4 linked regions of the Arabidopsis thaliana genome follow. The protein of the gene in region 3 interacts with the protein of the main gene of each other region in a pairwise test. Each region holds a gene or a part of one and is shown on either strand. Other genes may lie near its edges.

The links.
Region 1: the proteins of AT3G24490 (region 3) and AT3G25790 interact in a two-hybrid assay, tested with the Arabidopsis thaliana proteins (one large-scale study listed by BioGRID).
Region 2: the proteins of AT3G24490 (region 3) and AT5G01380 interact in a two-hybrid assay, tested with the Arabidopsis thaliana proteins (one large-scale study listed by BioGRID).
Region 4: the proteins of AT3G24490 (region 3) and AT2G38250 interact in a two-hybrid assay, tested with the Arabidopsis thaliana proteins (one large-scale study listed by BioGRID).

Annotation. Positions count from the first base shown.
Region 1 is NC_003074.8:9,409,972-9,417,972, forward strand, and holds AT3G25790 (myb-like transcription factor family protein), read left to right. Parts: upstream 1-3,080; 5' UTR 3,081-3,224; coding exon 3,225-3,369; intron 3,370-3,473; coding exon 3,474-3,769; intron 3,770-4,090; coding exon 4,091-4,310; intron 4,311-4,423; coding exon 4,424-4,500; coding exon of another isoform or gene 4,501-4,539; exon of another isoform or gene 4,540-4,644; coding exon 4,645-4,980; 3' UTR 4,981-5,269; downstream 5,270-8,001. Other genes in the region: AOC3 (allene oxide cyclase 3), read left to right, coding at 1-438. UniProt on the Arabidopsis thaliana protein: Probable factor involved in nitrate and phosphate signaling in roots. Integrates nitrate and phosphate starvation responses and adaptation of root architecture, depending on nutrient availabilities.
Region 2 is NC_003076.8:152,693-160,418, reverse strand, and holds AT5G01380 (Homeodomain-like superfamily protein), read left to right. Parts: upstream 1-2,817; 5' UTR 2,818-2,967; coding exon 2,968-3,303; intron 3,304-3,999; coding exon 4,000-4,635; 3' UTR 4,636-4,809; downstream 4,810-7,726. Other genes in the region: ACI1 (ALC-interacting protein 1), read right to left, coding at 6,124-6,458, 6,896-7,726. UniProt on the Arabidopsis thaliana protein: Probable transcription factor that binds specifically to the core DNA sequence 5'-GTTAC-3'.
Region 3 is NC_003074.8:8,904,857-8,912,723, forward strand, and holds AT3G24490 (Alcohol dehydrogenase transcription factor Myb/SANT-like family protein), read left to right. Parts: upstream 1-5,565; 5' UTR 5,566-6,165; coding exon 6,166-7,167; 3' UTR 7,168-7,367; downstream 7,368-7,867. Other genes in the region: MSH7 (MUTS homolog 7), read right to left, coding at 7,562-7,867.
Region 4 is NC_003071.7:16,015,743-16,023,526, forward strand, and holds AT2G38250 (Homeodomain-like superfamily protein), read left to right. Parts: upstream 1-2,467; 5' UTR 2,468-2,641; coding exon 2,642-2,947; intron 2,948-3,194; coding exon 3,195-3,758; 3' UTR 3,759-4,414; downstream 4,415-7,784. Other genes in the region: AT2G38255 (hypothetical protein (DUF239)), read right to left, coding at 6,602-6,784.

The sequences.
Region 1 (8,001 bases), 500 kb from region 3:
TGTCTCGGAGATCTCGTCCCATTCACAAACAAACTCTACACCGGCGATCTCAAGAAACGCGTGGGAATCACGGCAGGTCTCTGCGTTTTGATCCAACACGTTCCTGAAAAGAGCGGTGACAGATTCGAAGCTAGTTACAGCTTCTACTTTGGTGACTATGGTCACTTGTCTGTACAAGGACAATACTTGACTTATGAAGACACGTTCCTCGCTGTCACTGGTGGCTCTGGAATCTTTGAAGGTGCGTACGGACAGGTTAAGCTTCGTCAGCTTGTGTATCCGACAAAACTGTTCTACACTTTTTACCTTAAAGGGTTAGCTAATGATTTACCGCTGGAGCTTACTGGAACGGCGGTTACGCCGTCGAAGGATGTGAAACCGGCACCGGAAGCTAAGGCGATGGAGCCTAGTGGAGTTATAAGTAACTTTACTAATTAAGTAATTAGCTGTTTAATAGTTGTTTTGTTTTGTAATAGAATATTTTGATGAGTTGTGTGAGGTTAGTTAATGATGTGTTGAGGGAATAAAGTATTTATTTTGATGTGACTTTATTGATTACAACTGGTCTTTCTACAACGTGGAACTGTTGTACTCGATTTCAAAGTAAAACTTTTTACATTAGTTTCGGTATTTTCACGGAATAAATTGATAGCTAGAACCTTTAATCTTATGGTTTAAAATGGTACACTCATATACACAGTTAGGGTAGTGGAGTTAATGCTAGTAATTAGTAACACAATATTTTTTGGTTCGTTATGGTTTTGGTGTTAATTGTGTTAATGTCATAATGCTTTAACGCTAATTTGTTGTTGGCACAGATATTTAAAACTAAAAAAAGCAACCTAGTTATTGCTGGCTATCTTTTTAAATTGAGAAGTTAACATCTTGTCAAGTGAATCGTGTAATATTGTTATACTCTAAAGATCGATATTATTGTGTCTACCAGTCAAAACATGTGTTGGAGGGAAATTTTATTTGTAGGTTCATCATATGTCAGGAACATTATTGTCATGTTTCTGTAAGCTTTCTGACATTTAAGTTCAGATTTTGACCATAAGTTTTGATCATAAATGAGAAAAGAACAAAGTTAAGTTTAGTTTTGCGAATGTTAAAAAAAATAAATATCTTATTTGCACTTTTTGAATTATTTACCAAATATAAAAACCAAGATGGTGTTTTTTTTGTAATACCAAAAAAGAGAGAATTTTAGCTACGAGAGAATGCAAAATTCGGATTTGTGATCCGTTTTATTGAAAAAGATTTTAGTTTCATAGAACATATATCAAGTAGTATACAAATTGAAAAATAGGGTCTGATAGATCCGAGACACTTGGGTATTATCACCTAACTTTTAAACGTTTATGCCAGTTTTTTGACAAACAAATCACGAAGTATTTGAGGATAAATACAGTATTTGTTTATGTTTTCTATCTTTTTTTAGGAGGATGAGTTCATTGGTTTGATCTTAAACAATTGAAAATTTATAGGTTACCACCAATTTTGCGATTTTTTTTCTTCTTCTATACTTTAGATTTAAGTTTATATATAGATATTTTCGTTTGATATCAATATGGGAAGCCCACAAAGTTGGGGAGTTTAGTGGTACCTTTTTTTTTGGTTCACAATTGCATACGAATATTGGGGAGTTTAGTGGTACTATTGCATACGAATATTGGAGATACGAGAAAGGGGTGGAAAAAATTGATGATAAATTGAGCCCAAGTAGGAAACAATACACAAGGCCGTATATAAAGTTGGCATGTTGGGTTCAATACATGAGGCCGTCTTTTTGTTCGGCCGCGGCCAGTGGTGAACACTGAATATGGCCTTTTGAGACTCCGAGGGGACAATTATAATCCAACACTAAAATACATCTCTAAACTCTATTTGCCAACTAATTTCTTTATTTAAAATACGTTTCAATCTAATCAAAACAGATAAGCCTGTTAAACACAATTTTGATTTCTCGAGACTACGAATAGGTGGATCTATTTGTATCATAACATCATAACATATAAATCGATATTTAAAATTTTGAGTAATAAATTTGATGTTGGTCTCTAACAATTTGCGGGTAATTTCTTGATATTTTGGACATCACCCGAACATATTAGCTCATTACACACCAATTTCTATAGAGGCAACATATTTTCTTATCATTAAAGTTGACAGCTATTAGAGCCCTTAATCACGTTTGATTTCATATCTAATTCCAAATTATATGGATATAACAACAGCATAGCATATAAATTGATATGTGTAGCATTAGGTTATATCTTTGACCGGGAAATGCATTGGCAGGCCATTATACTGGGAAGATGCATTCGCATATATATTAGTAGGTGTACTTAGTAATCGTCTACTTGACATAATTAAAATTACCGGTCAAAAACACGAGATATATAGGAACTCATATTGTGTGGATATATATATTAGTTTACATGTGTATTTATGGATAAGGTTATAACGAATTCAACAAATTCTCAAGGTCCTATGAAATTTCAACAAGTATATTACAGTTTTTTTTTTATATATGGCTTTTCTTCTCCCATGTTTCGGCTGTCTACGAAGAGACATTTGGCTTTTCATATTGGGATATTGAAAAATACATTTTCAACGTTTTATATATGATTTTGTGTGGGTGAAATTAATACTTACAGAACAAAAGAGCTCATGCACGTTTAGTGTTATTTTGGCGGCTGTTTTTAAGGATTTGCATATATTCTTTCCCACGTATTGAATTCTATAAATGACATAATAATCAAACTTGTAAAAATAATAGAATGAATAGTTTATAGTCTTCCAAAATTCGATTTCTGTTGTAGTGGAATCGCAGACATTTTCTAACTTATGAATGTTGTTATAGGACTTCTTTAAACCTTGGTTGGATATACCCAAATAAATATAAAGTTCACACGAAAAAAACTTGGAATCACATCCAGGAATATTCACCACTGGATCAATACTACTATACAACAAGGGAAAAAAAAATATTTAACTTGGGAAGGTATATACTTATTTTATAAACAAAAGCAAGATTCGCCTTGTAATGCGACGGCCCGACTTCTCTCTTTCAAATAATGATCCTTGAGAAACCCTATAGAGCCATATATACGTTGTCTTTATAAAGAGACATAACTCATCTCTTCTTGACTAACTTTATAGTTAAAGTTATCAATTATTCGAAAACAAAGCTGGTTTTTTGTTTTGTCCCTTAAACCAGCATGATCAAGAACTTAAGTAATATGAAGAATGACAATCAGAAACGTGAAAAATGTTGCGAGTACATCGAAGCTCTCGAAGAAGAACGTCGCAAGATCAATGTTTTCCAACGCGAGCTTCCTCTTTGCGTAGAGCTCGTGACTCAAGGTACATACATATGCATTTACATTTCATATAAGATATAATGAGTTTATATATATGGATTAAATGTTAGATCTAAAGATTTTTAAAAAATGTTTTATGGAATTTAGCGATTGAGGCGTATAAGAGGGAGATATCAGGGACGTCGACGGATAACTTATACGGACAGTCGGAGTGCTCAGAGCAGACCACCGGAGAATGTGGGCGCATCTTGGATCTGTTCATACCAATCAAACACTCTTCGACCTCCATAGAAGAAGAGGTTGATGACAAAGATGATGATGATGAAGAACACCAGTCTCATGAAACCGACATAGATTTTGATGACAAGAACATGAAATCTGAATGGCTCAAGTCTGTTCAGCTCTGGAACCAATCCGACGCAGTTGTTTCTAATAATAGACAGGTAAGATTTTTATTTTATTTTATTTTTTCTTTGTTTACATTTGTGTTTTTGTTTGCCTTGAATTACATTTACTGTATTGTTTCCAAACCAGCCTATTGACGTTGTTAATTGTTAACGTAAAGACTAAACGCATAACCTTCTGTGTACTTTATGCGATTGTGTTTGTAACTTACAACTTCACAAATAGATTATTCTTTTTTCTTCCAGTTTTTGTTTTTTTTAATAGACCGAAAAAGGATGGGTGCACAAAAAGATAGTAAATTGCTCACAAAAAGATTTTGTTTTGTAATTTAAGTTTCTAATAGCATTTTGCGTATTCAGGATCGCTCACAAGAAAAGACAGAGACGCTGGTAGAGTTGATAAAAATAAACGATGAAGCAGCGAAGAAAAACAACAACATAAAATCACCGGTGACTACTAGCGATGGTGGCAGTGGCGGTGGCGGTGGCAGAAGAGGGCAGAGAAAGAATAGGCGGTGTTGGTCGCAAGAGTTACACAGACGCTTCTTGAACGCTCTTAAACAACTTGGTGGCCCTCATGGTGCGTTTCTTGGTTTTAAGTTAAAACATATATATCAGTAGTCATATCTTTTTGTTAGGGCTCATGAAGTTTAATTAATTCGTAATGACCTTTTTGTTCACTAAATTTTGAAGTAGCTACGCCGAAACAGATAAGAGATATAATGAAGGTTGATGGGTTAACAAATGATGAAGTCAAAAGTCATTTACAGGTTAGTAAATCATATTCCATGAAAAATACATGTAACTAATATGTAAAAGGTATATATTAATTTCATCATTTTAGTTACAAATGTTTTTATAATTTAGAAGGAAAATAATATTTATTGTTTCATATTTTTTTTAATGATAAATAGAAATATAGGCTGCATGCAAGACGGCCAAGCCAAACAACACCGAACAACAGAAACTCTCAAACGCAACATTTCGTGGTGGTTGGTGGAATATGGGTCCCACAGACTAACCATTCAACGGCCAACGCAGTCAACGCCGTCGCATCGGGTGAGACCACCGGGATTTATGGGCCTATGGTCAGTTCGTTGCCGTCCGAGTGGCCGAGGCATTCCAATTTTGGTAGGAAGATTTCGGAAGATAGATCAAGATGCTCTAACAACGGATTTTTTCGGTGTAGCTCACCAGCTATGTCTTGTTCTACTCGTACAAAGACGAAAGATGCAAAAATAATATCATAAATTTAATTTTTGATTATTTATTAAGAGAAAAAAGTTATAGACATTAATATTGTGAAGAGTGTATATATATAGATGTTGGAGCGTGACTCTATGTTATTTTTAGTTTCTTGGTTTTTTTCTATTAGCCGATGATATCTTTGATCAAAGATCCATATTAGCTAATGCATACTATATTTTTTTACGTCGTGCAATATGCATATCGATGATAATAAGTTAATAACACAAAATTATTAGATTACTAGTTGAAGAATCGTATATAGAAAGAATCGTAATTATATGTAGAATGATGGTATATTATCAGCATATATTTTTATAGAGGCTTTAGCCACCAAAATTAATAAATGTCAGTCACAAACTCAAATTAATTAATTTCGTCCTTAACATATGTATGTCGGCCAGGTTTCTATTTGCTATAGTAATATAAGATACACAGAAACATTGTAGAAATGTAAAATGTCTTCGAAAACAGAAGAAAAATACATATATAAACTTTTTTGAATGAAAATAAAAAAAATTATGCCATACAGAAGGATCGGAACTCGGTAGAATATGCCGGAATCTGAAGAGCATAATCTGCAAATATGTTTTTCAGGTTAAACTTTATTCTCTTGTTGCTTGTACTGGATATTAACACAAATGTGCACGTTGGGCTCCTTCTCGTGGAGTGAATTATTCTTTATTTGTTCCTTTTACTTTTGTAAATACAATTTTTCCATATAAGTATATAACTGTGTAAATATTAAACCCAAAATATGTTAAAAGACAAGTTTTTTTGTAACTTAAGGGCAAGAAACAAGGTGTAAAGCCACATGAAAATTGCTGACCATTCTAACTCTCGACACTACTATACAATTAATATCTCTTGACTTGTACTCATTCTCTATAACAACAACAATTGTTGGGTTTTCTTGTTCGCTCTCACTGTTGTTTATTAAGTGTTGTTCGTTTGCGAGGTTTTCTGAATCAATAATCAAAATGATTTCGATTGATAAGTTATCCTTTAATCAAAATTTCTTGGTTCCTATGGTTTCATCACCTCAAACATAAAAAAATCATACCAAGTTGTTAAATATCTTTAAAAATTCCTACCAAGTTACTAAATAAGTGTTCACAAATTTAGGGATCCTTTCATGTGACTCTATGAGCCATGTGACCTATTTTTCTACTACCTTTATAACAAATGGGGCTACAGTTTTAATAATATTCTTACTGATAATTTAATTTGAATACGAAGACCATTGGGAAACTTGAACATTGAGAAAGGCTATTGGAGTTCCCGAGATGGCGGTTTGATCTATTTCAAATCTTCAATAATATTACTATTATCAAATACTTCTTTGATTCTATAGATGTGTAAGTATTAATAATTTAATATTTGACGATGGATCCAAAAGAACAGGAATCGGATTAGGGTTTCCTTATGATATGATTTATTAATAGATTGGAATGGGTTTTAAACTCTTAGAAGCAGGATCTTTATGTGACCTTTCAGAGTCATAAAAAGCCTAAATAGCTCTTGATACTTACTTTAAGACCATTATGAGATCAAACCATGGAAAAATAAACAAATAGTAAAGCAACAAATGCTTTTTCTTGGTCTATACTTCATTACTTCTCATATTAACTAATATCATATCCATAAGGAATATTCGACTACACCTATTATTAATTGTATAATGTTAGTTCATAATTTATCTACATTTGTGCATAAACAATTAAACATATCTCTGATTAACAATAATAAAATATATAGTACGTGCTAATCTTGTTTTAATCTTCTCTTATATAAGATTAGGATTGATCAACCAAGTTTGACATGGTGTCTTAGTCTTATAGGAGTGAAATTTTTAATCAACCTTCCAAGGATTCTTTCGTCTATCCACGATGACGAATAGGTTGAAATGGAAACAGATTTCTTTCAGTTCTATACGTGTTTGATTTTATTTTTCTTTTAATAATACAAAATAATTATCAATGAAACTATTTAAATAGTCTCAGAGCTATAAATGTAATAAAGTAACAATGTTTACTAATTTTCTAATAGCAACATGATGTTTCATTATGTTCTTTAATTATTTCTGCAAAACAAGTATCAATTTGGGATTCAGCTAACGTTGAGTGCTAGCTGCTCTTCACATTTGCACACAATTTTGGGCTAATGAGCCCGAAAAGTTTACGAAGATGGACCAAGCCCGTTTATAGCCCCCGAGGTTAAAATTCCGAAAGGTTAATTCCCAAAAACTTAAAGGTTTTGACGATCTAAATTTTGATTTTAATGAACGGAAATAGTAAATGACCTGAAATAGAAAAAAATCAACTAGATAATCTACAATTTAAAGATTTGCAGAAAATCTTGGACGATAAAACAAGATACTAACATTTCTCACAGAATAATTTTGCTATAATAATTTAAAGTTCAGCTGCTATATTTTTTTTCCTTTGTTAATTTCATCTGCTATTTATTTGACCAAATTAAATATGTTATCTTGATTTGTTATCGTACGTCTACATAGTCTCTAATTTTAAAAAACAATTGCCGTAATTTTAGTTTTTATTTAATTGAAATTTTATTTACACATGTAACAAATAAAAAAAATGATTGAAAAGAATAATGTATATTATTTTAAAGTCATAACTAGTAACATGTAAAAAAGTAGTTATACATCACTATTTTAGGCAGTCAATGGTAATGAAAAAAAAAGAGCTTATTTTCTAGACCTGCATTGTTTATATTAATTTATACATAGTTGAAAATGAGATTCAAACTATGCTTTCAATAAATAGGTGAAGGATCGAGGTCGAGGCACCATCGATATAGAGTCAGCTCGTCCTTCACCACGGCAATTTCATGCCAACATCTTGCTCAAATGAGTATTCCATGGAGAGTGATTGGTAACCTGCAAAAGAAAAAGAAACTTAAAAAGGTTTATATGTATAAGGTTCACGTCAGTGTTTGAGTGACTTAAAAAAGTTTGTGTTAGTTATAAAACTAATATCTCATGGACTGACGTAAAGTTAATT
Region 2 (7,726 bases), on a different chromosome or scaffold from region 3:
TTATGGTTTTTTTAATTTATTTTGGTTGCATTTTGGTAAGGTTTTTAAGGGAAATACATACCACCAAATGATGCCGGTTTAGTTAGTAATGACTGACGACTAGTGAAGTAAAGTCTCTCCTTATATCTCTTTGCTAAAAGCTTCAATATTTGTTTAATAGTAAACATTGTCAACAGATTTGGAAAGACTAAATCAACGTTTAACAATATGTCAAAATGTAATTCAAATTGATTAATCATAGTAGCGAAATTTGAAGAACCTTTTTCTTTTGTTGATTAAAAAATCCAAATCTCTACGTTTTTCTCACATTCTTCAATCTTCTTGACCTTGTCCCGTTTAATTCCTTCACTAAAATCTTTTCAACCCTCACGTGCTGATGTTGACATGGAATAATTGTTGTTACTTGTCAAATAATAAGAAGAAGAAAAAACAGACTAATGTATGTTCCTCTTTGATTGTTCTGGTTAGGCAAATTACTTGCATATCTCCACATGTACGAATTAGTAATATTCATTCATAAAGTTAGTATGATTTATAGATTCAAAAAAATAAACACAGATCGAGTTTAGTTTAGTCAAATATTTGAATGTTTTCAAGAACAAGAAGAGTTTCTGCAATCAACTGAAATATCATTTTCATGGTCTTGGTTCAAAACCAGCAGTATTACAAACAGTGAGAAAGGTTTTTGGTATTTGTAACAACAATGTATTGTTGCAGTGACTCCAAATTCAAAAATGGAAGTCATGTGCATTCACCAAGTTACGGCAAAAGTAAAAGACTAAACTTATTACTATTTCCGAATAATCCGGAGCGATACCCTAAACAACATTCACCTCAAAAGTTCTAAATAACACGAATAGGCTGATTTTTGTATATATGCTTTTGGCTGACGTTTTTTTTTTGTTCTTTGCTTTAAGACTTCAATTCTTTTAAGCAAAAATTTGGATGGGAAATAAAAAGGATGATGAGGTGGCCTACTTGTATTGAGCGGATAAACATCAGCCAACAAAAATCTTTGTTAAAATAAAAAGTGAAAGACAGAGAGAGAGATGGCCACGTGGACAAACATGGTGGGCGTTTACACGTGGAATATAACAACACTCCGCGTTGCTGATTATTTGATTCCATTTAAATAAAATTAAAAAATACTGATTATTCTTTCTTTTGTTCACAGAAAATTCCTTCATTCACAATTTCTCTTTTAAATAATTAAAGACCACAAATTTTGAACATAAGAATTAGAAAAATTAAAGATCATTCACTAGAGTAGTCGACATTATTATTAATTTAGTATAAATAAATAAGGTGTGAATCCACGTGGGATGACAGGTGGGAGCGAAGTCTAGTGCATGTCATGTAAGATTTTGATTTACTTTCAACACGCTTCATCGCTATTTGGACCACTTCGCTGACTTTTTTTTGTTTTTTTTTTTACTACTGAGTAGTACTAGTATTTCTTACACATATCAGAGCCAAAAATACAACCCCGACGAATCTTTCTTTAGATACAAATAAAAAATATTTACTCCTACAAGTTTCATTCACCGTACGTTTTACTTGTTATATCATTGCAATGACGCGGCTTCTAAATATGTACTACCATATGTGTGTTTGGGAATCTGACAGTTGTATATTGCACTGGATCCAAACCATTTCAGAACAAGAGTACATTTTCTCTGTTCGTACGCATTATTTGTTTTGTGCCGACTGCGAATATAACGATTTCCATTTATTCATATACTAAATATCATACAATCCATAAATGAATAGTCTTCTTTTTTTCTTGGGGGAATTTACAATTCCAATCAAATTAATTTCTTAGCTAATCATAACGGTAGTCTTGTTTTCTGTAACTTAATTCTTCTTCTTTTTTATTTTGATAGGAACGTTAGGTATCTATTATGTAAAACTTGCTAACAACAATTCTCTAATTCTTTGTTTATATCTGATCTCTTCCTCCATGACACGGGGCTAATCTAAACTTCTAAAAGCATATTGATCCAATAGCTTATTTAATATATTTTGTCTGTCAACCATTAGGTTACTTTTGTTACGATGAATTTTTCAAAAGAAAAATACAAGAATTATGGGATGAGGAAAATCTAGTGGGTCAATTGACCATAAAGGCTAAATCGGATTGAAGAATAAAAATCGGATTGTGACTCGTAACTCGTAAGCGTGACGAAATATTAACGCAACATTTATATGTATTGGGACAAATTATTAACGAATAACTACCAAATGCAAAAAATACGAGACAGTTGAGTACTTGAGCTTGGTCACAAAATCATCATCAAGGAAAAACAATAACCATACAGTAAAAATATAGTTCTACAACTTTACAAATTTGAAAGCGTGTTTAGAATGATGCACACAAATAATCAATCTGTCAAAAAAAAACATATTGTTTGATTTTACTCTAAGATTAAGGCGATTGTTTTTACTTAAGATATTCTTAACTGATGCAAGTTACCCCTGTAATTGTTTGAGATTGCTATTTTTAAACTCTAGAATACGAAGAAAAAAAAAGTATGAATTATTTAGTTAGCTGCTTTAAATCTAGAGTTTATCATCCGAAAAAGGGATATCTAAGCTTTATTATTTTTAATGTAATCACGAATTGTGTCCTTTTCACCAAAAGAGTCATTCGTGTTCGTATTTTATTCAACTAAATAATTCTATAAGTTCTAGTATATTCAATAATTATTAAAAAATCTCATCTTAATAATTTTAATTAGAGAAAAGAACAAAAAACTACACTTCTATCGTCCCTCTACGATTTCACACCTTCTTTTCACACATCCTTATAAATTAATTAGATTCTTCTCTTTTCTCTCCTTCCTCTCTGTCTTCTCTTCTTTTTTTCAATGAAACCTCTCTTCATTTATAAGTAACCCAACAAAAAAATAAAATTATCTCCCTCTTATTTCTTCTCTTCACGTCACAAAGACAATTCGATTCCAAATAATGGACCGACGTAACCCTTTCCAACATCACCACCACCACCATCAGCTTCATCATCACTTGATCCAACAGCAACAGCTTCCTCCGCCGCCGCTGAGCACCACGGCGACGATGGATCCCGGCGGAGGAGGAGGAGGTGGGGAGAGAATCCCACAGTGGAGCATAGAGGAGACAAAGGAGCTTTTGGCTATAAGAGAAGAACTTGATCAAACTTTCATGGAGACCAAACGTAATAAGCTTCTTTGGGAAGTCGTGGCTGCTAAGATGGCCGACAAGGGTTTTGTCCGAAGCGCAGAACAATGTAAGAGCAAGTGGAAGAACCTCGTCACTAGATACAAGGTTACCCTTCAACTCTTTAGAATCCTATTGATGATTCTCTCTATATATAGTCCCGATATATACACCTATAAATGTTTAGTATGATCATGATTACAAGTATATACAAACTATAATTATGTGTATCATGTATTTCATCACTAGTTTGTGTGGTTAGACTGATATTATGCATATTGAAATGGAAACCTAGTTTATGGTGTATGTATAGGTGAACTACATTATATATACATCAATTAATGAGCTTAACCTAATCGCCTAGGTTTTTTAGATATTGTCCTGTCATTAATGGTAACGAGCTATAGAATAGAATTTTACGCGTTTATTGGTGAGCTTTCATCATGATATTGTCTATGTTCACATTTTGATCCGTTATACCATAATATCTCTCTTTTTGTTCGTTGATCACATGGTAAGTAAGTAACACAATATGCCATAAAAATATAATTACCGTTATATAACGGGTGCATAAGATTTAATAAGAACCGTTACTGATGAACACATGAAGATAGTTGAAAAAGTCTATACACACATTTATTTAAGGTAAAAGAAACGTGATATAGATGATGAACATGTGTTTTTGTTTTCCTATGATATATGATTTCGAGTTAAGATACTTGGTTAGCTAAAATATTTTGCGTCGGTACTATTACGTGTTTACATATAATTGTTTATATAACATAATGAATATTCATGGGACAGGCGTGTGAGACCACTGAGCCAGATGCTATTAGGCAGCAGTTCCCATTCTACAATGAGATTCAGTCGATTTTTGAAGCAAGAATGCAAAGAATGCTGTGGTCAGAAGCCACAGAACCAAGCACTTCCTCGAAGAGAAAACATCATCAATTTTCATCTGATGATGAAGAAGAAGAAGTTGACGAACCAAATCAAGATATCAACGAGGAATTATTGTCTTTAGTAGAGACACAGAAAAGAGAGACAGAAGTGATTACTACTAGTACTTCGACCAATCCAAGAAAACGTGCAAAAAAAGGAAAAGGCGTTGCGAGTGGTACGAAAGCTGAAACTGCGGGTAATACACTAAAAGATATATTGGAGGAGTTTATGAGGCAAACGGTGAAGATGGAAAAGGAATGGAGAGATGCATGGGAGATGAAGGAGATAGAGAGGGAGAAGAGAGAGAAAGAGTGGCGGAGGAGAATGGCGGAGCTAGAGGAGGAAAGAGCCGCCACAGAAAGGAGGTGGATGGAGAGAGAGGAAGAGAGACGGTTGAGAGAAGAAGCTAGGGCTCAGAAGAGAGATTCTCTCATCGATGCTTTGCTTAATAGGCTTAATAGAGATCATAATGATGATCATCATAATCAAGGTTTCTAAGTTCTCATTATTTGTGTTAAGCATAAGTTAATTAGCTAGTTAATTTGTTAGGCAAATCAATTTAGATAATATATCTAAATTAATGTTTGTTTTATAATATTTATATGAACTATTGAAATTTCCAAAAAGAAAGATAAATGTTCAAATTTTGATATATGTTATCGTGGTATGAAAATGAATTTATCCTTCTAAAAACAAAAAAAATCCTGGTGGAGAAAAATAAACCTTCAATATTAGAGGAAGAAAAATAAATAGAGAGGGAGTAAAACGAGCAGGCAATTACTAAATATAATATAAGGTAACATGTGAATTAACTAAACGATAAGAATAAGAATTAATAAATCATTTAATAGTTTACGTACATGCATAAAACAATTGTATAGATATTAATTAGATATGCTAGTTTGAATTATATTGTTCATAGTTATAGGTGTCCAAAACCAAATTGGTTGAATACTTTTAGCTACTTTATTCTGTTAATAAGAATATTTCATAACGATTAATCAGGCGATAAACAAGAATTAAACAAAAGTCTTTATTCCAAAACTTTCAATTCACATTTGTCCCACATTACTTCACCGCGTTATTTGTGTGATATATAAAACTTATTTTGTTCATAAGTAAATTGTAAAGAAAGAATTTGTTATTTTTATTCTTTTCTTCTCTTGCAAGACAGCTACCAACAGATAAAAATACCGAAAACATGAAACCGTGTTATAACGCGTTCACACTAATATATCCGTTCATTTTAAAAAACACGTATTACTAATACGCCGCGTCAGCTCAATTGTATAGAGCCGTGTGACCAACTCTGTGAGGTCACCAGTTCGAATACAAGGACCTTCAATATTTACCACTTTTTCGTTGGCAAAAAAATAGTTTATGACTAAATGAAATAATTATAATTCGAAACTTAAATAATTTAGAGTGGGAAAATGTTCTTGAATTTTACATGTGAACCCCCCAAAAAAAACACAGAAAAGTACAAAAAAACGTCAAAGAAGTAACGTTAGAAGGAGACCATGATTTGCATGTGAAATAGACATAAAGGAGACAGTACGTATTTCGAAGTTACGGAGCTCTCCAAAATTCAGAAGAAAACCGATTTGACCGTTTTTGGACCCACTACATGTATTTATAATGCATTTGATAATTCGTCATATCGAATTTGAATTTAATTTCATTCTTATGATCGAGTATTCGAGTCACTAAGATTATCCTTGTGCTTATTTGGTGATATTCGCCATATACATACTTGTGTTTTGGATAGGTATATTTGTCTATAGGACTATTTAAGACGAGTACATTATAGTCTTTAGTACTAATCATAAATGTTAACCATAATTTTTCTGGTCAATAACTTATATTGGCCGCATAACACTTTTAGAAAATATGGAGTGATGAAAATTTCGATTGTTGTGAGTCTCTGGTTAACATTTGGATTACAAGATTTTAAAACGACATATTTCTGATAATTGGGAATTTAAACTAGATACAGAGTTCATCAACTAGCTGGTCCATAACAAGGTCAAGAATCTCTTGACCAAATTCGACACAAAAATCTTCGACCTGAGTAAAGTCAACGGGTTTAGTTGACGAAGTAGAAACCCAAGTGGAAGACTTCATGTCTTCTTCAGACAGATCTGAGAGCATATTCATTAGTTTTGTGATAAACTCTGTCTCTTCTGAATCATTGTTGGTGCTATTGTTGTTTTCTTTCTTGGTACTTGTTTTTGTTTTTGCTGGTGATGAAGAACATGAAGATTTTGTTGCTGTCTCTACTTGCTTTGTTGACAACTCCGATGCACTTTCTGAATCTCCTCCTGTTTTATTTTTCAAATTAAAGTGACGTTTAAAATATGATTGGGCAAATAAAAATAAAATTTCTCGAAAATGTTGAGAAAGTCTCATTTTCGCAGCTTTTTTTACAGTAAAATCAAGAAAAATGTTAAAAGCGAAAATGTTCTTATATTGGTTAAATTTAATCATTTTTCAAATAAATCCAACGTTTAAGGAAAATTCTTATATTGGTCAAATTTTGAATAATCTTATTATTTAGTATTTCAAATAAAGTGTACTGAATCGGTTAAAATGTTGACCAAATGACCAAATTTTTACCTCATTTGCAGTTAAAGTAGGAAACTACTCACATGAGATGATTCTTTTCGCAAAATTTCAAAGAAGGTTCAAAAAGCAATTAATTAAGTTCAAATATTTGTTCGAGAGATAAAAATGTTTGAATATTATTTCGTAGACTCACCTGAGAAGTAGTAATCATCGTCAAGGATTAGATAATCATAAAGATCTCGATCAAGAACCGAAACCGGACTCGCGTTAGACTTATTCTCCGGCGACTCACTCTCTTTTCCGATAAACTCATCAGCCCGAATATTCTTTGATTCTCCTAGAAGCGCAGTCTTCTCCGACGACGACTTACTCTTAGATGGAGAAAGAAACCAACGAACTTTCTTGGCTCCGTTAACGTCATTTCGATTCTCACTCTTCTTCTTCTTCGCAACTTTCCTCGGCTCATCTTTAAACTTCTTAGCAACTTTCTCGTTCTCCTTCTTCTTCGGCGCCGAAGGTGGCAATGGCGGCTTCTTGGAATCTTCCACAACCTTCTCGAACCTTTTAGACCTCGAAAAAGACGATGATCCGACAAGTTCTCTCTTCTCGTCAAGCTTGTCAAGATACAACAGCAGGAAATCATGTTTCTTTTGTTGGTTATTAGAGCTCCATCTCGCCGAGGTTGGGACTATCTCACGGAAAGAAACGGAAGCTTTGACTCTCCGGCACTGACGTTGACCGTCTTTCTCGTCTTCGTTTTCTTCTTCTTCCTCGTGACCTTTTAGGATGTAGTCCATGAAGTTAACCGATTTGCTCCTTGTGACAGCCGAACCGGAATCATCAAAGTACCGGAACCGTTTTGATCCGGGTGCGGGATGATCTAGCCCCATGAGTTTGGCTACAACGTTGGGAGGAGGAGGAGGTGGTGGAGGGTGAAGAGAGACGTCATCGTTTTGGGTTTCGGTTTCGGTTTTGATCTCTTTCTTTGGCTCTTCGTTTTCTTCGTAAGAGATTAGTAGTTGGA
Region 3 (7,867 bases):
TCATTTTCATAAAATTCCCTGCATTTGGCATTACAAAAACCTAAAACATTATAAAAAAAAATTGGCATATCATTGATGGCTACGGTATACCTAAGTGCCGAGAATCCATGCACATTGCTAGATTAATTGTTTGTGCGAACGAAATGTTGTATGTAATATATGTTTAAAAAAATTAATACGATAAGAGAGTCTAGTTAAGAAAAAAAAATTCTTATGAGATGCAAAATGCTATTGTAACGTTTTACTTCGACTGAATTCAGATACATGTTACGAATTTGCGGGACGGATATATTAGCTACTTGTCGATCTTTTGCAAGAATCACATGGTTCATAAATTTGATGCGCCGCTAAAGCTCGATCCTAGACTATGCTATCAAAATAAACATATTCGACTGATTACGGTGATGATTGTTCATGTACTGTTTTGGGAATATATGTGTGATGTCTCTGATTATCTACCAGCTTTTCATTAGGTGGTGAGATGCGCAAGCTCGCAATCTTTCGAAACATATTGATGCCAACGATCTTTAGTAAACATTTTGTGAGTTCAACATCCACGTATAATAACCTGAATGATTAATGCCTATTAGCCTAGTTTTACCCTAATAATAATATCTACTTTCTAATGTATATTACTAAACATTTATCAAATTCTATAGCACTAGCATTATCATTTCACGGGCAGAAACTTTGGCAAGGAGCAGCACTAAACAATTAAGTCAGCAGATTTATGATTTCATAAAAGATATGTAGAAGTATAACACTGTTTTAAAAACCCAAAACACTATTATAAAACCCATACATTTTCGAATCTTTTATTCATTCTACAAACCCATACACTATTATAAAGCATGGATACAAATAATTTGATAACCGACTCCATTAAGGTTTATAATAAATTATAAGAATTTCGCGACACCTAACAGCCTAACTACCAGGTTTTATAAAAATCATTAGAAGGAGGACCAAACGAATCGCTTTAGTAATCAAAAGATTAGTTGTCTAATTAAGTTTGCTTTTGGAGCTTTTTCTTAGTTATTGCCGCAATGAAGCACACCGTGTGGGGACGTTTTGACACATCAGGTAATGTTCTCATAGACCAGCGGGATGTTCGAGGCTTTTAGGTCGCCGACATGTGTCGATTTTTGGATAGTCGAATTTAATAGTATATTACTTTAACGAAACAAATATGTAGAAAAATAACCATATGCTTTTTACTTTTGCATAATCACTTCTGTTCAAATTTACTTGGTATCCATGGTACATCATCATGTAAAACATTCGTTATGAAGTTTTTAAATAAAGTTATGTTAATGATTCGTGCCAAAAGGAGCACATTTCGCCAATAGCCAAAAAGAATTGTAAGAACCGAATTACAATAGAGTATTTGAATTTGTATTTTTAAGAAGTCATATGTTTTTTATGTTGAAAAACAATGTGAAGGAATTGAAGTCATCTAGAGTGAGTCGAGACGTATATTAAACATTCAAACTAGTTTAAGAAGTATGTATAACTCGTCCTATACACACAAGTTTTGTATCCTGACACTTTTTCTTGTGGGCCAAAAGGTCCCATAAATAATGCAAACTTCACTAATTCACGAGATCGTGTCTCCATATGAAGGAATTATACAAGTATTCAGATCTTGTTACAGTGTAAAATATTGAAAAAGGTGAAAGTGTTGCACTAAAAATCAGCCGTTGATGATTGATGAAGGAGCTTAGTATGGAGGATCTAGAGTGAACCATGCAAACATATACATATTTTTGATTATTTTATTAGATTTGTACGTATTGTATATAAATTTGGAAATTATGCATAATATGCATAGTATTCTTTTCCGTGGAGAAACATATAGATTTCTCACCTGAGCTTATATGAAAGTAACCACTATTTTTCTCATCACAAATCTCGCAACACTTCTTAATATGCTAGTAAAACTATAATGATCTAACGATTGGTACTGTTTTATTCTTTTTAAATTTTAAACCAACTGCTATTTTTAATACTCAAACATTCACTTTCTTAAAAACCAAGTGCTTCTAATTACTCTTAAAACCTAAATTATACATTTGAATCTAGGTTATCACTTCTCTTGTTAAATCAACAATGCTATGCGGTTAAATTTTGTCATGAATTTTTGATTTAAATAATAGAACGAGGTGATCAACATTTTCATCTGTTACCGGCTTCGTCTATATGAGGAGGCCAAGTGAAAGAAGTTATAATAACTAGGTAGGTCGCATGGTAAGTTTCCCATGAAGTCTTCAACGTCTTTTGTCCACTTGATTGTGCGCTAAATACTGTGTGAACATTCATTCATTATCTTAAGAACCCAAATGCTTTTAATTACTATTTAAACATAATTTGTACATTTGAATATAGGTTATCGAGTTTCTCTTGTTGAGCCAACAATGCAACATCTTTATTTCTGCCATTTTCAATTTAAAGAAAATGAATAAAATAAAATTAAGTATTTTGTTATTATATGCTTAGTCTTGTTAATGTAATTATAAGGAAGATAATGTTCCTTAATAGACTAGATGTGATTCATGAGAACCATGCACAAGAATTCAAAAACCCTAGAAGATTCGATGGTAAATGACGGATCAATTAGCAAAATATTCATGTACATTTACTATAACGCTATTGTATCTCTAGGATTATCGGGTTCTTGTAATGGATGATACACCACAAACCTTTTCTATATTTGTAATGCATTATGATTGACAAAAAAATAGTGTTCCTTGATTTTTTTTCTTTTTTTTGTGTGTGCATCAAGTGTTACTTGTTAATTCATTATTCATTTCATTATGTTTCTCATACACTCTAGCCATCTCTGTTTTTTTCACCAACTAATCATACAATTTTATAAATTTGGCGATTTTTTTAAAAAATAAAGACTCTATAGTCTATTTTTGATAATTGTATGTAACATTATGTACTATGAAAATATCATGCAATTGTGAAGATGACAAGGTTGTCATATCTTCTTATGAGGTAAGAAATTATTTCTTAGAGTATATGATCATTTGCTATTAGTTGTATTTTCTATCCTTCTATAGATATGTGAACTTCATTCTCTAGTTGAGTATGTATCAGAGTTACTTTTACCTTCCAGTACTAATGAATCTGGAAGCTCACACAGAATAAAAGTTCTTGCGTAGAGAAATACAAAATCTTAGTGCTTAGATGAACATTTGACCAGTGAGGTGAAGCAGACCACTATGGTTGAGATCATCTACTAGCAACCAGACCATCCAAAATCTCTTTTCTTCTAACCAAGAGACCAAGTCAGTGTCCCATCAAATTTGTTTTTTAATTTTTATTTTGGTTAAATATCAAATCCTTTATAACCAATTTCTCTTTTCTTCTCCATCCAATAAGTCTTTTCTATTTGGAATCTCATGTAAATCAAAGTGCTTTACAACTTTTTGGCAAACATTTTATCTTTAACACTAGACCAAAAACTTCCTCATTAATTAACTAAACTATATATATTATTGGCAATAGAGCATCCTGCTTTCGTAGGAATCCCCTTACCAAAAAAATCACCGAAGATACTTTTGGACTATATATTTGTCAAATCAATAAATAAAAATAAATAAAAGATTAAGAAATAAATGCTCAAAGCCTCAAAGTAAAGACAAAAGACAAAAAATTGGTGAAAGCAACATAGTTGGCATTGGAGTGAGCGAACGTAACCACTCATAACGCGTTTGAAAGAGATTGTTGTCAAAGACTTGAGAAACTTCGTAACGGTTTTATGATCACTCATTGACTCTCTCTCTCCGTTACACTTATGTTCTCGACGCGACCTTCCAACCATAAAATACTAATTTCATTTTTATTTTCACTTCATCGATATCTTGTGACATGTAATATGATTGGCTTATCAAAAATCTTTCATACGAATTTTCAAGTTTGTTCACATCTCTCTCCCAAGATATCCGTTTAGGAGCCTAGGACCGTTACTTCACTTTATTATTTTCATGTGGAGGAACTGTAATATATATCACAATTTTGTTGTTCTTGTTGATTGTGTAAATAGTAGTACTGGATACTAAAGAACAATGAGTATGTATCTCAAATATTTAGCTCAACCGTTTTATAAAAATACTATATTATTACCTTAAAATTGTTTGTTGCTTTATCAGTATTAGGTAATTATGAGATGTCACTGTTTAATCTATTTAAACGTTTTATGAGTTACATTAATGAAAAAAATCTGAAAAGTTAAAATTATACGAATACATACCTGTCTGACTCTACCTACTGAATTTTGTAAAACAATTTGTTATATTTTATAAGAAAGTTGATGTTGTAGTGTTTACTGTCTCATAAAAAACAATCTCTATTTATTTGATTTGAGACTTGAAATTTTTAAAGCTTGTTTTAAACTATACTGTTTTTCTTATAAAAAAATTGTATTAATTTTTTTTATAAATGAAACTGTTAAAAAAAATTGAAAATTTAGAGATCAAAACTAAACCTTTATAATCATTGAAATATATTGGTACATCTACCCACAAAACAGGTCAATCGTCTAGGTTTAATTATAATTAAGCCTAACATGTTAATGAGATTCAAACGAAATTAAAGTCCACAATGCCAACTCAACTCAAGTATCAAATCTTTTTCTTCTTTTTTTACTTAGCAGGAATACCAAACTCAAGTATCAAATCTTTTAAAATTTATTTTTTACTTATGTCAATGTGGGAATGACCGAGTTACTTAAGAGTTATGATTAATATTAATTCTTGTTTCTAACCAATTCATATATCATTGTCTTGGAAGCTTCTTCATATCAATGACTCAACTCTTAATTTTTTTCGAAAATCTGTTCTTACAAGGTCACACAATTCAATTTTTTTTTTGTATTGTAAATGTTTATCTCGTTATATTTACACTAACGAGATTTAAACACCTAAAATCAAATTGTACGAGACTAGTGTTAGTTATTCAATAGTATGATGCATTGATGCAACAAAATTCGTTGCGATTATTTATGATCCTTATCACTACCATGATCATTTCCATTAAGGTTATACTTACTTCCTTTTTGATGCATAATAATTACTCACCAACATTGAAGCGTGGTCGACATTTTCATTGGCAATAAGCATAACATTCATTTATTTATATTAAAACACAGAAACAAACAATTATTAAATAAAGAGTTCTGGCATTTCTCTATTTTAGTCCACTTAATTTAATACTATCATCTTCAAACAAGATTTCATCATTAATAATTTAAAAAATTATACGTTACATAGTGTATTAAATGAATTATCGTTGGGATACACTTTCACATTTTTCAAAAACGTATGAATCATAATGTGACACATGGAGATTTCCCACAACCGAGGCTCCCATAGTAGATGCTTATGCAATTCATATTCTTGCAGCTTAAACTCTTGCAAGTTCAGTAATAACACCGTGATATGAAAAATAAAACTTAGCCCTTTTTAATTTTTGAACTTATTCAGATTAATTAAAAGCATACGTAGCATATTTAAGAATATAAAGCAGAGAATCAAAATAACATATTGTTTCAATGGCACCCATTTTAGCTAGTCGATCAGTAACTGCATTCGCAGATCTTCGAACCCACCAAAAATCGACAGCTTCAAATCCTTTGAGCCAATATGACGCTAAAGGTCAAAATATTATGACCCTAAATGTCAGAAATTGACCCCATAAGTCATAAGTTAACCGACACCAAAGCTGATATTCGTTAGAGTTTAGACTCTCCTTTTCTTAATGATCGTTAGTTTTAGTTGGGAACTCTTGGGCTATCGGTTAAAATTAAATAATTGTGGTCCTCTTGGCCCATTAGTGCTGTCCAAACTGGCCCAATATGACCCAGTGGATGGTCCCAACAAACGCCGCGACAAAACTCCGTCGCTGGCTGAGGCAATGTTCACCGGTGGTGGTAGCTTTTCTTCTACTCCGACCCGGCTGAAAATGCAAATCCCTAACCCTAGACACGGCCATGGTTTATAAACCTCATCAATTTCTTCTACTTATCTCTTCTCAAAGCTAAACCCTCCAAGATATTCCTCTATTAGGTGCAAAAATCAGGTAAATCTCTATCTGTCCGATTTGAAACCCTAGATCTGCCTTTCTTCTCTCTTCTTTTGCTTTTCTGGGTTTTGCTCAAAGATGGGTGACAGCGAAGATGAAACAGGATACCCAAAAAAGTTTTACTCTTTGAATCGGCAAAACCATCCAATGTATAGTAGACCAATACCTAAGCGTCACGCGTATTACAATGAAGAAGAAGACGAAGATGAAGTCGAAGGAGAAGAGGAAGATCCACAAGGAGGATACATTCGTGGAAATGAGAGGTTTCAGAAGAGACAGAAACCAAACAAAGTAGTTTCTGGGTTTGAATTTGCTGGTCCTAGTGATGCTAAAGTTGCGTATGATTGGAGAGAGCAAGAAGCTTTTGTGTTGCTTGAAGTTTGGGGAGATAGGTTTTTGCAATTGGGTAGAAGGAGTTTGAGGAACGAGGATTGGAATGAAGTAGCTGAGAAAGTGAGTGAGGAGCTAAGGATGGAGAAATCTGAGACGCAATGTAGGAGAATGATTGATGACTTGAAGAGGAAGTATAGAAAAGAGAAGATTAAGGTTGAGAAATCAGGTTTAGGTTCAAGTAAATGGTCGTTTTTCAATAAGTTGGATATGTTGCTTTGTGTTTCGCCCAAGTCGGATTTAGGTTTAGCTTGTGGTGTTGATTCAGGTGAGTTTGTGTTTATGAACACTAAGGTTTATTTAGATAAGTCTAATGGGTTTGATGAGATGATGGATAGTCCTGGTGATTCTGAAGAGGAGGAGGATGAGGATGATGAGGTTGAGTACGAGAGGAAGAAGGTTAATGACGCTGCTTCGTATAAGATGTTGGCGGATTCTGTTGAGAGGTTTGGGAAGGTTTATGAGAAGATGGAGAAGAGTAAGAAAGAGCAAATGAAGGAGTTGGAGAAGATGAGAGCTGATTTTCAGAGAGATTTGGAGTTGCAGAAGAAGCAGATTGTTGATAGAGCTCAGAGTGAGATTGCTAGGTTACGTGAAGAGGAGGAGAATCATCATGGTGGTGGTGATGATGATGAGAGTGAAGATGAAGAAATGGAGAATGATTCTGATGTTAATCTCAGTGATGAGTAAGTTATAAACTATGTAGGTTTGTGTTGTTTGTAGATGCAACAAAATATGTTCTGTTTTTTTTTTTGGTTTTAGGGAATTCAGAACTTAAGTCTTATAAGTTTTGTAATTTGTGTTTGGTCTTTGCAACTTTAGTCGAGGTTATTTGCAGTTTATCTTGAAACTTAAATTAATGCATAAACATATTTCCTTCTTAATATACTGTTTGTGAGTATTTCTCTTGACCAATCTCATGAACATACATATATTATATACCATAGCTAAACCGACAGATACATATATAATCTTGTTATAATCGAGGAAACAATTTTTTGATATATAAGCATTTTTTAAGAGGAATAAACATCAGAGAAGCAAAAGACTTAACGAGCTTCAGATAGTGTTATGTCATAGCCATTTATTTGGGAACACAGTAAGAGGATTTGATCTCATGCCATAAGCAAAACAAAGTGTCGTAGTCATCTTCGCCAATGGGGGCATTGTTGTGGGCGACTCGAGAAATACCCACCAATGACTTGAGCCAGTCTTCATGCAGACTTGAGAACTCAGATCTTAGCTCACTTGACTTGAAGTTTTCCCCAATTGATCTCTTCATGGCTTGAGCAGCACCTGATGCTGTTTCAACCACTTGGTTTGGTATTCCAGCCATGAGTGCCACTTGAAGTCCGTAGCTCTCAGGACAAGCTCCCTCGGTTAAACGGTA
Region 4 (7,784 bases), on a different chromosome or scaffold from region 3:
TCTAGATCGAGATATGTCAAAAGGAAATACTAGATCCGTGATGTTGACAAAAGAAATTGTCCGCCTAATATGTTGAATATTGTGAACGTAAATGATGTGATATAGTGTGATAAATAAATAAATAAATGAATCAATTACCAGATAAGGATTTTTAGTGGCATTCATAGATTTGCCGAAAAAATTATATCTAAAGTTACAATTTACACATTTAGGTTTACTTGGTTCTATTTTTTTAGGGTATAATATTTGTTATTATGTATTTTATAAAAAAAAAATGGAAACATAATGAAACAAAATTCTCAAATACATATTTTTATTTAAAAAGTTTCTCAAAATTTTAGCTTTTAAGTGGCAGAAAATAGTTTTTTTTTTTTTTATAGATAAAGTGAAAAATCTAAAATGGCAAAATCAACAATAATCCAAAACAACAAAATCAACAAATCTAAAAAACTCGTTGATTGTTTTGAAGACAACAGCTATGTGGTGAAGAAAAAATGAAGAAAAACCAAAATCGACATGTGGGCTACTGTGTAAGATGCATTCATTTACAGCTACCAAACGCACACGTGACAATTTTTTTTTTTTTTTTTTTTTTGTTTGTATATATTATATAAATTTAAATACAATCGAAAACAAAAATTCTTCGTTAAACTCTTTTCAATGCTGTATTTGAAGCTTCCTATTTTTATTATTAAAAATATGTTGTTTCTAAAAAATATATATATATATATATATAAAAATTCTTTTCTTGACTCTACAAAATTTTTGTTTGCTAACAATTTTACCTTCACTGTTTACTATACAAAAAATCTCTGTTTTAGTGAATAATATATGCAACTAAGTTTTTCGCAATAAAAATACAATAAAAAAATTGTAGCTAGCTATAGTCTGGTCACAAACCATAGGAAATGTAGCCTCTAAAAATAAAATCAATAACAAATTTGTACTGATCTTTTTATATCGACATAAATTTGGTGAAAGTCCAAATAACATGTTTTTCGTACCATAATCAACCAAGTGGTGTTCCTTCAACAGATACATAAAACGAGGCAAAATAAAAGTGAACGAGGCAGACAAAGAATTTTCCAAACCTCATTTAAGGGACTAGGTTGACTTTAGTCCTTTACTTTAGAAGAGAGTTGCAGTTTTCATCTATTGTAGGGGTTACACAAAATTTGTTCTTATGTGAGTCCAATTGCCAAATTGTACATCACTCGAAGACAAATTGGGCCCAAACTGTGTAGAATGGGTTTGGGCTGCCAACCCATAATAAACCTTAAGTTGAAAATGAATTAGTTTGGCACATGCTTTTTTTTGTCATGTTCATGCTTTTAAAAAAATTCAAAATTGGCCTAACAAGTTTCACATCTCTAGAATGTTGTTCCTAGCTGGCTAGTTCCACGCACGTGTCACACTATAATTTGTCATTTCGTGAATGAAGAAATCATTCCAACACTTTTGTTATTTTGATAACCATACAAGGAATAACACGTGAAGGAATTTAGGAAACGAGAGATTCTAGAGAAGTCACCTAGTTTTGTATTTAAAAAAGGTGCTCAAAATTAGAAAAATATCGAATTTTGTTGAAAAAGGGAAAAATAAACAAAGACAAAGTAGTAAATAGAAACTTGGGCATGAAGCTAAGGATATGACTGGTCGCCGAGAATTAATAACCACACAGTATTATTACAAAAAGTATACAAACCGAAACTTCTCGCGGTGATGATGAAACCTCAACGCAATGTTATCGTCACATCAATTTGATTCCTCATTATAGTATGAATGAAAAAGCAGATTAAACAGAAAATACATAAAGAGCTCTATAACTCAATAGGAAATATTTACCACTCACCTATGTTTTTCTTACACTTTCACTCTAATTTATTTTGACAAAAGAAAAATTGTATTATATTATTTAAAGACTTGACTTTCTCTTTAATATTTTACTGTTTTTTATATTTAAAGCAATATAAAAAATTATCATCATTTTAATTAAATTTATTATCCCTACCATTTTACCAAACCAACTCAGTAATAAACTCATTTCATACACATATTTGACAAATATGTCGACTGTCAGAATCTAGAATACTATTTGTCAAATGAAAGTGATTACATTATGAGATAACGATAGAAATATCCACATCTCTCCTGATCACCAGTCAACATATCTTTTATTAACGAATTGACTGGTAGTTTAAGACGCTAATTATCCTTTGCTCTATAATACCATTTCAATCGATATTTTAACTAATTATATACTATTAGAAATGAAATGACAAATCTGCCGAAAGCTTTTTTCTTTTTAATATTTTGTCAAAAGAAGACACACAAAAAAAAAGTAAATTGTATTAGAAAAAATCCAAGACAGAGAAAAAAGTAAACGCGTAGACAGATGGCGACAGGAGAAAGAGAGAGTGGAGAAGAAGAAAAGAATTGCGATCAAAGAAAATTAGACTTCTTTCTTCCAACGTTTTCACATTACAAATACACAAAAACCAAAAGATAAAGAAAAACAAGAAATATTTTGTTTTTCGATCTGAAAAAGTGAAAGCTTCTTCAAAATCTTTGCTTTAGAGATCGTTTGGTGATTTTTTTTCTTTATTTTTTTTTTATAGTTTCTTCTTCTTGATTCTTTCATATGGATGGACATCAGCATCATCACCTTCACCAGCTTCAATATCTCAACAAGCATCATCTTCATACTCAATCGCAAACGCCGGAAATAGCCTCTCCGGTAGCTGTTGGGGATAGGTTTCCACAGTGGAGCGTCGAAGAGACAAAAGAGTTGATAGGGATAAGAGGAGAGCTAGATCAAACTTTCATGGAGACAAAACGGAACAAGCTTCTTTGGGAAGTTATCTCTAACAAGATGAGAGACAAAAGCTTTCCTCGTAGCCCTGAACAGTGCAAGTGCAAGTGGAAGAACCTCGTCACTCGTTTTAAGGTCTATTCTCTCTCTCCCTCTTCTTTCATTTTGTGGATGTTTTATAATCTTGGAGGTCTTGCATGGAACAAATAAATAAATAAAAATTTGTAACCAAGAAATATTGAATCTTATAGTCCATAATCTTTCCGGGACATATAGACAAACACCATTGTAAATATTTCTGAATCTTGTTGTCCATAATCTGCTAAGTAGTTTAATTATATGTATACAATCTCATTGGTGATGTATTGCTTGATGTTTCTAGGGATGTGAGACAATGGAGGCAGAGACAGCGAGACAACAGTTCCCTTTTTATGATGATATGCAAAATATATTTACCACTAGAATGCAGAGAATGCTATGGGCTGAATCCGAGGGAGGAGGAGGGGGAACAAGCGGGGCAGCGAGAAAGAGAGAGTATTCTTCAGATGAGGAAGAAGAGAATGTGAATGAAGAGCTAGTAGATGTCAGCAACGACCCAAAAATTCTAAATCCGAAAAAGAACATTGCAAAGAAGCGAAAAGGCGGTAGTAATAGTAGTAATAGCAATAATGGTGTAAGAGAAGTGTTGGAAGAGTTTATGAGACATCAAGTGAGAATGGAGAGCGAGTGGAGAGAAGGATGGGAGGCTAGGGAGAAGGAAAGAGCAGAGAAAGAAGAAGAATGGAGAAGGAAGATGGAGGAGCTTGAGAAGGAGAGGTTGGCAATGGAGCGGATGTGGCGGGATAGAGAGGAGCAACGGCGGTCGAGGGAGGAGATGAGAGCAGAGAAGAGGGATTCACTTATCAATGCATTGCTTGCTAAGCTTACTAGAGATGGTTCCCTCTAATCTTTTGTCAGCTTTGCTTAACCTAAATTAACTTGTTCTTATATGCTTGTTTGGGGTGTAGTGTAGGTACAATTATTTGGTGGGGGAAGATAATATCTACGGCAAATCTCAACACTCATATATTGATTGATATGATGACATATTTGAGTTTTAGTGAGGCTTTAGTAATTTATCATCCCCACATTATTTCTTCCTAGTTTATATTTTGGCGAGCCAAATTCTTATAGCATATCATTTAATCTTAGTAGTATACTGGTTTTAATTAGTAATTTGTAGGACCGTATGTGTAGTATTTTAGAGTAATTTGGATTTTGTTAGAGTTAACCTACAAATCCATATATAGTGCAGCGAATGTAATATCGGTTTCAAATATTATCTTCATGCAGAAGAGAACGAGGATACTAATAGTTTATGGTATTATGAACTAATTAACTTTGATGAGAATGTAGAGATCAAGAGGGCAAAACAGTTAGTGGAAATATTAAACATGCTCGAAACAAGAATGAAAACTTATCCTATGAATTATGGGATCATTTAGGTCCATTGTCTGCGATCTAAACTTTTATTATTTTACCATAAATGTTTTCTTGTAACATTGAGAATCATATCTAACATGGCAAGATAATACGTGAATGCGTATGGCGTTTCTTATCCACATAAATTTGTTTTACTTATGTTTTTTTTTTGTTTTCCACATAAAGATTAGTAAAGATCTTGTATTATTTTATTTGTAAATTTATATTTATATAATTATATACTAAGGAGATGCTTAATGAATAAAATACACATCACATGTTAATTCTAGAAAATACGTTAACCAGTTTTTTTTTGGTAACATTGTTGTTTCTTTATTTATTTACTAGCTATGAACTCATGCGTGGATTTATTTGTAAAAAATTTAACAGTTTTTTGTGTGACTAAAATATTTTATTGAAAATTTTGAAAATATGATTTTATATATCTATTTGTTGTTAATATTATAAACTCTTTGAATTTTAAAATTATCATGACAAATAGTAACAATTTAAATACATAACTAGAAATAACCTTTATACAACTCTTAGATTTTACAACATTTAGCAAAAGAACATTTTTTTGGTTAATGACTCTCTCTTTAGCTTTAGATATTTAGGATAACGACGTCTTTTTTTACGTATTAAATAAATTGTTGTATAGGAAATAGATTCGACGATTCTCATTTTGGTACCCGCAAATTTACTATTGTTTTTCGTTTATCTTCGCTGCATTAGTTAGTATAGCTCTTCTAAAAATAAGATATTTTGTAGAAATATATTCGTAAGTTTATCTACACTTTCTTTTAACAACTCATATTTTTCTCACATTCTTTTCAATATGTATATGAATTTCTTTCACAATTTTTTTTACAGAGAGCTATGACTCTCCCTATCTTTTTGCAAAAACTCGTTTTATTTGTTTCATTTTTTCTTACAGTGTCTCTTTCATCCTCTTATGATTTTGTCTAAGCAATATGTGCCATACCTTCTTAAATTTTCACATGCTCCATATTTCTTCTTCGAAAATCTCTTCCTTTTCTTGTTAGTATAAGCATTTTTCAATCTCGTCAAGATGTACTCTGTTTTGTTTTCTGTTATTCTAAGAAAACGTTTTAGCTTCTAAATTGATACTTAACTCTATCACTTCTCCTTTTTGATGCAGTTTAGATCCTCTTCACCTTCACGCTTCCCAGACTGAAAGACCTTAGTTTATATCTTCGAGAACTTGATTCAAATTGATACGATTAAAAACACCACCATCAAACCACGTCCTTGTTACGTTTCTTTAAATTATATTAAAATGTTGGATTACTTGTATAAGATCTTATAAGGTTTGGGTTTAATATTACATAATTATAATTCTATAGCTTCTTTTTTTTTATAAGTTTAAATTTAATATTTGTTATTTTCCTTTTCTATTTTAAATTTTAAAATAGAAAGTAATTACTATTTTCAAAATTGTTAACTAATTAGATACTAAATATGTTAATTAATGACATGTTTAACGCGGATTGGTCGTTCTAAATCCTATGTAGACGCCTTTAGAAGCAAATAGTTTCAACATTTATATAGTATAGATTTATTTGACATTACTTTCTCATTCCCACATCTTTAAGCGTTTTTTTTAAGATCTTATAATACTTTTTGTTCACAAGATGAAAATAGTTTAGTTAAATTTTATTTATCTTTTAAATTTTAATATAGTTTCGGCCGATACATATAATTCATTTGTCATCAAATACCACATTTTCCACCTGGTCCCCCAAAAGAGAAACTTACTCCAGTTGACTTGAAATAACCCCAGTATGATAGTCTATAACATTGGTAAGAATCTGCATATATCCTTGCTTTCCTGCTTTCAATATCAACTAGTTGATAATTTGAATTCTTAACTTTAACATGAACATAATGTGAACTTTTAAAATAGCTAATAACCGGAAAATGTCCATTTCCCATTGGAGGACTAATTCCATCCGGAGATGTAAAAGTATTTCCTCCAAATCGCACCAAAGAAGCTCCTTTGTTTAAGTGTGTAAATAGTTTTTTGGGCCAATAACCAACTATTTCGTTCATGACAGTGTCTTTTAGTACCCAGTTTCCACTGAAACCATCCTAACAAAACATAAAACACTAGAAAATGACTGCAAAAATATTTAAATTTTATACGCATATATGTTATTTTAAAAAGAAATTTTGATGCACTATATTGCAAAATGGAAAATTATAATGCGGATGAATGTGATTATTTCAAAAGCCTAACAAAGAATTTGGATTTGTGGCATGTTATTAAAATAATTAATAACTAAAATTCTTATCATTGTTGTCGAATTATTTGTCGTATAAAATGTGAAGAAGATTTACCTGGAAAACTTGTGGTCTGATAACAACTGATCCTTTACCACCATAAATAGAGGATTCATTAAAAGCGATTCCAATTTGCGGAACTCGACTTATAATAACAAAGCCAGGACAATTTGTATTATAACACCCAGTTTTCTTATACCCATCTGCCTAAAAATTCAAAAGAGGCAAAATATTTTGAGATACGAGATACAAAGAGACAAAATGGTATCAAATGTTTTTTTTTTATAAACATATAAAGATATGATTTATTTTAGAGAAATTGGTAAAAATGCCCTTTCAAGACTATCCCTTTTTAACTATGCTATTTCATGTTGGTCATTTTTATTTATACTCTCTTTTAATTTTTAGTGACCATTTTACCCCTATTTTGAAAATGTTTTAGGTTAACAAAATAAAATATTAATTTTTCTGCCTAAAATATTCAGAAGATAGATTTTCCGATAATTATTTTTTTCGAAAATATTTTTCCCGCAAAAAAAGAAATGGCGGGAAATAGATTTACAAGGGTTTTTACAAGATTTTTAAAGGGTTTAGAAGGATTTTAAGGATTTACAAGGGTTTTTCAAAAAAATTTAAAACATGTACAAGAGTTTTAAAACCTTATAAAAACTTAAAACTCATGTAAATCTTTTTAAAATATTTTGTAAAGGTTCACAAGAGTTTTAAAATGGTTCAAAGATTATTAAAGAGTTTACAAAGATTTTTAAAGGGTTTACAAGAGTTTTCAAGGATTTACAAGAGTTTTTAAAACATTTACAAGGGTTTTAAAACCCTTTAAAAACTATTGTAAATCATTTTAAAACCTTTTATAATGGTTTCAAAATAATAAAAAATGATTTTAAAGTATTTACATATGTATTTAAAGACTTTATAAGAGGTTTTAAAATGATTTACAAGATTCTTAACAACTTTACAAAAAAAAAATTAAGAGTTTCTGAAAGATTTACAAGGGTTTTTAAAATATTCTTGAAAATTTTACAAGAATTTTCAAATGCATTTTTTTGTGGAAATTATTTTTTGTTATGGAATTTTTTTTTGGCGAGAAATTGTTTTTTGGAATTTCTGTTTCTAATTACATATTCTCATTAGATGAGAGGTAATTTGGTCATTTTGTTCAAAAAATAGTATTTTTAAAAATGACCAACAA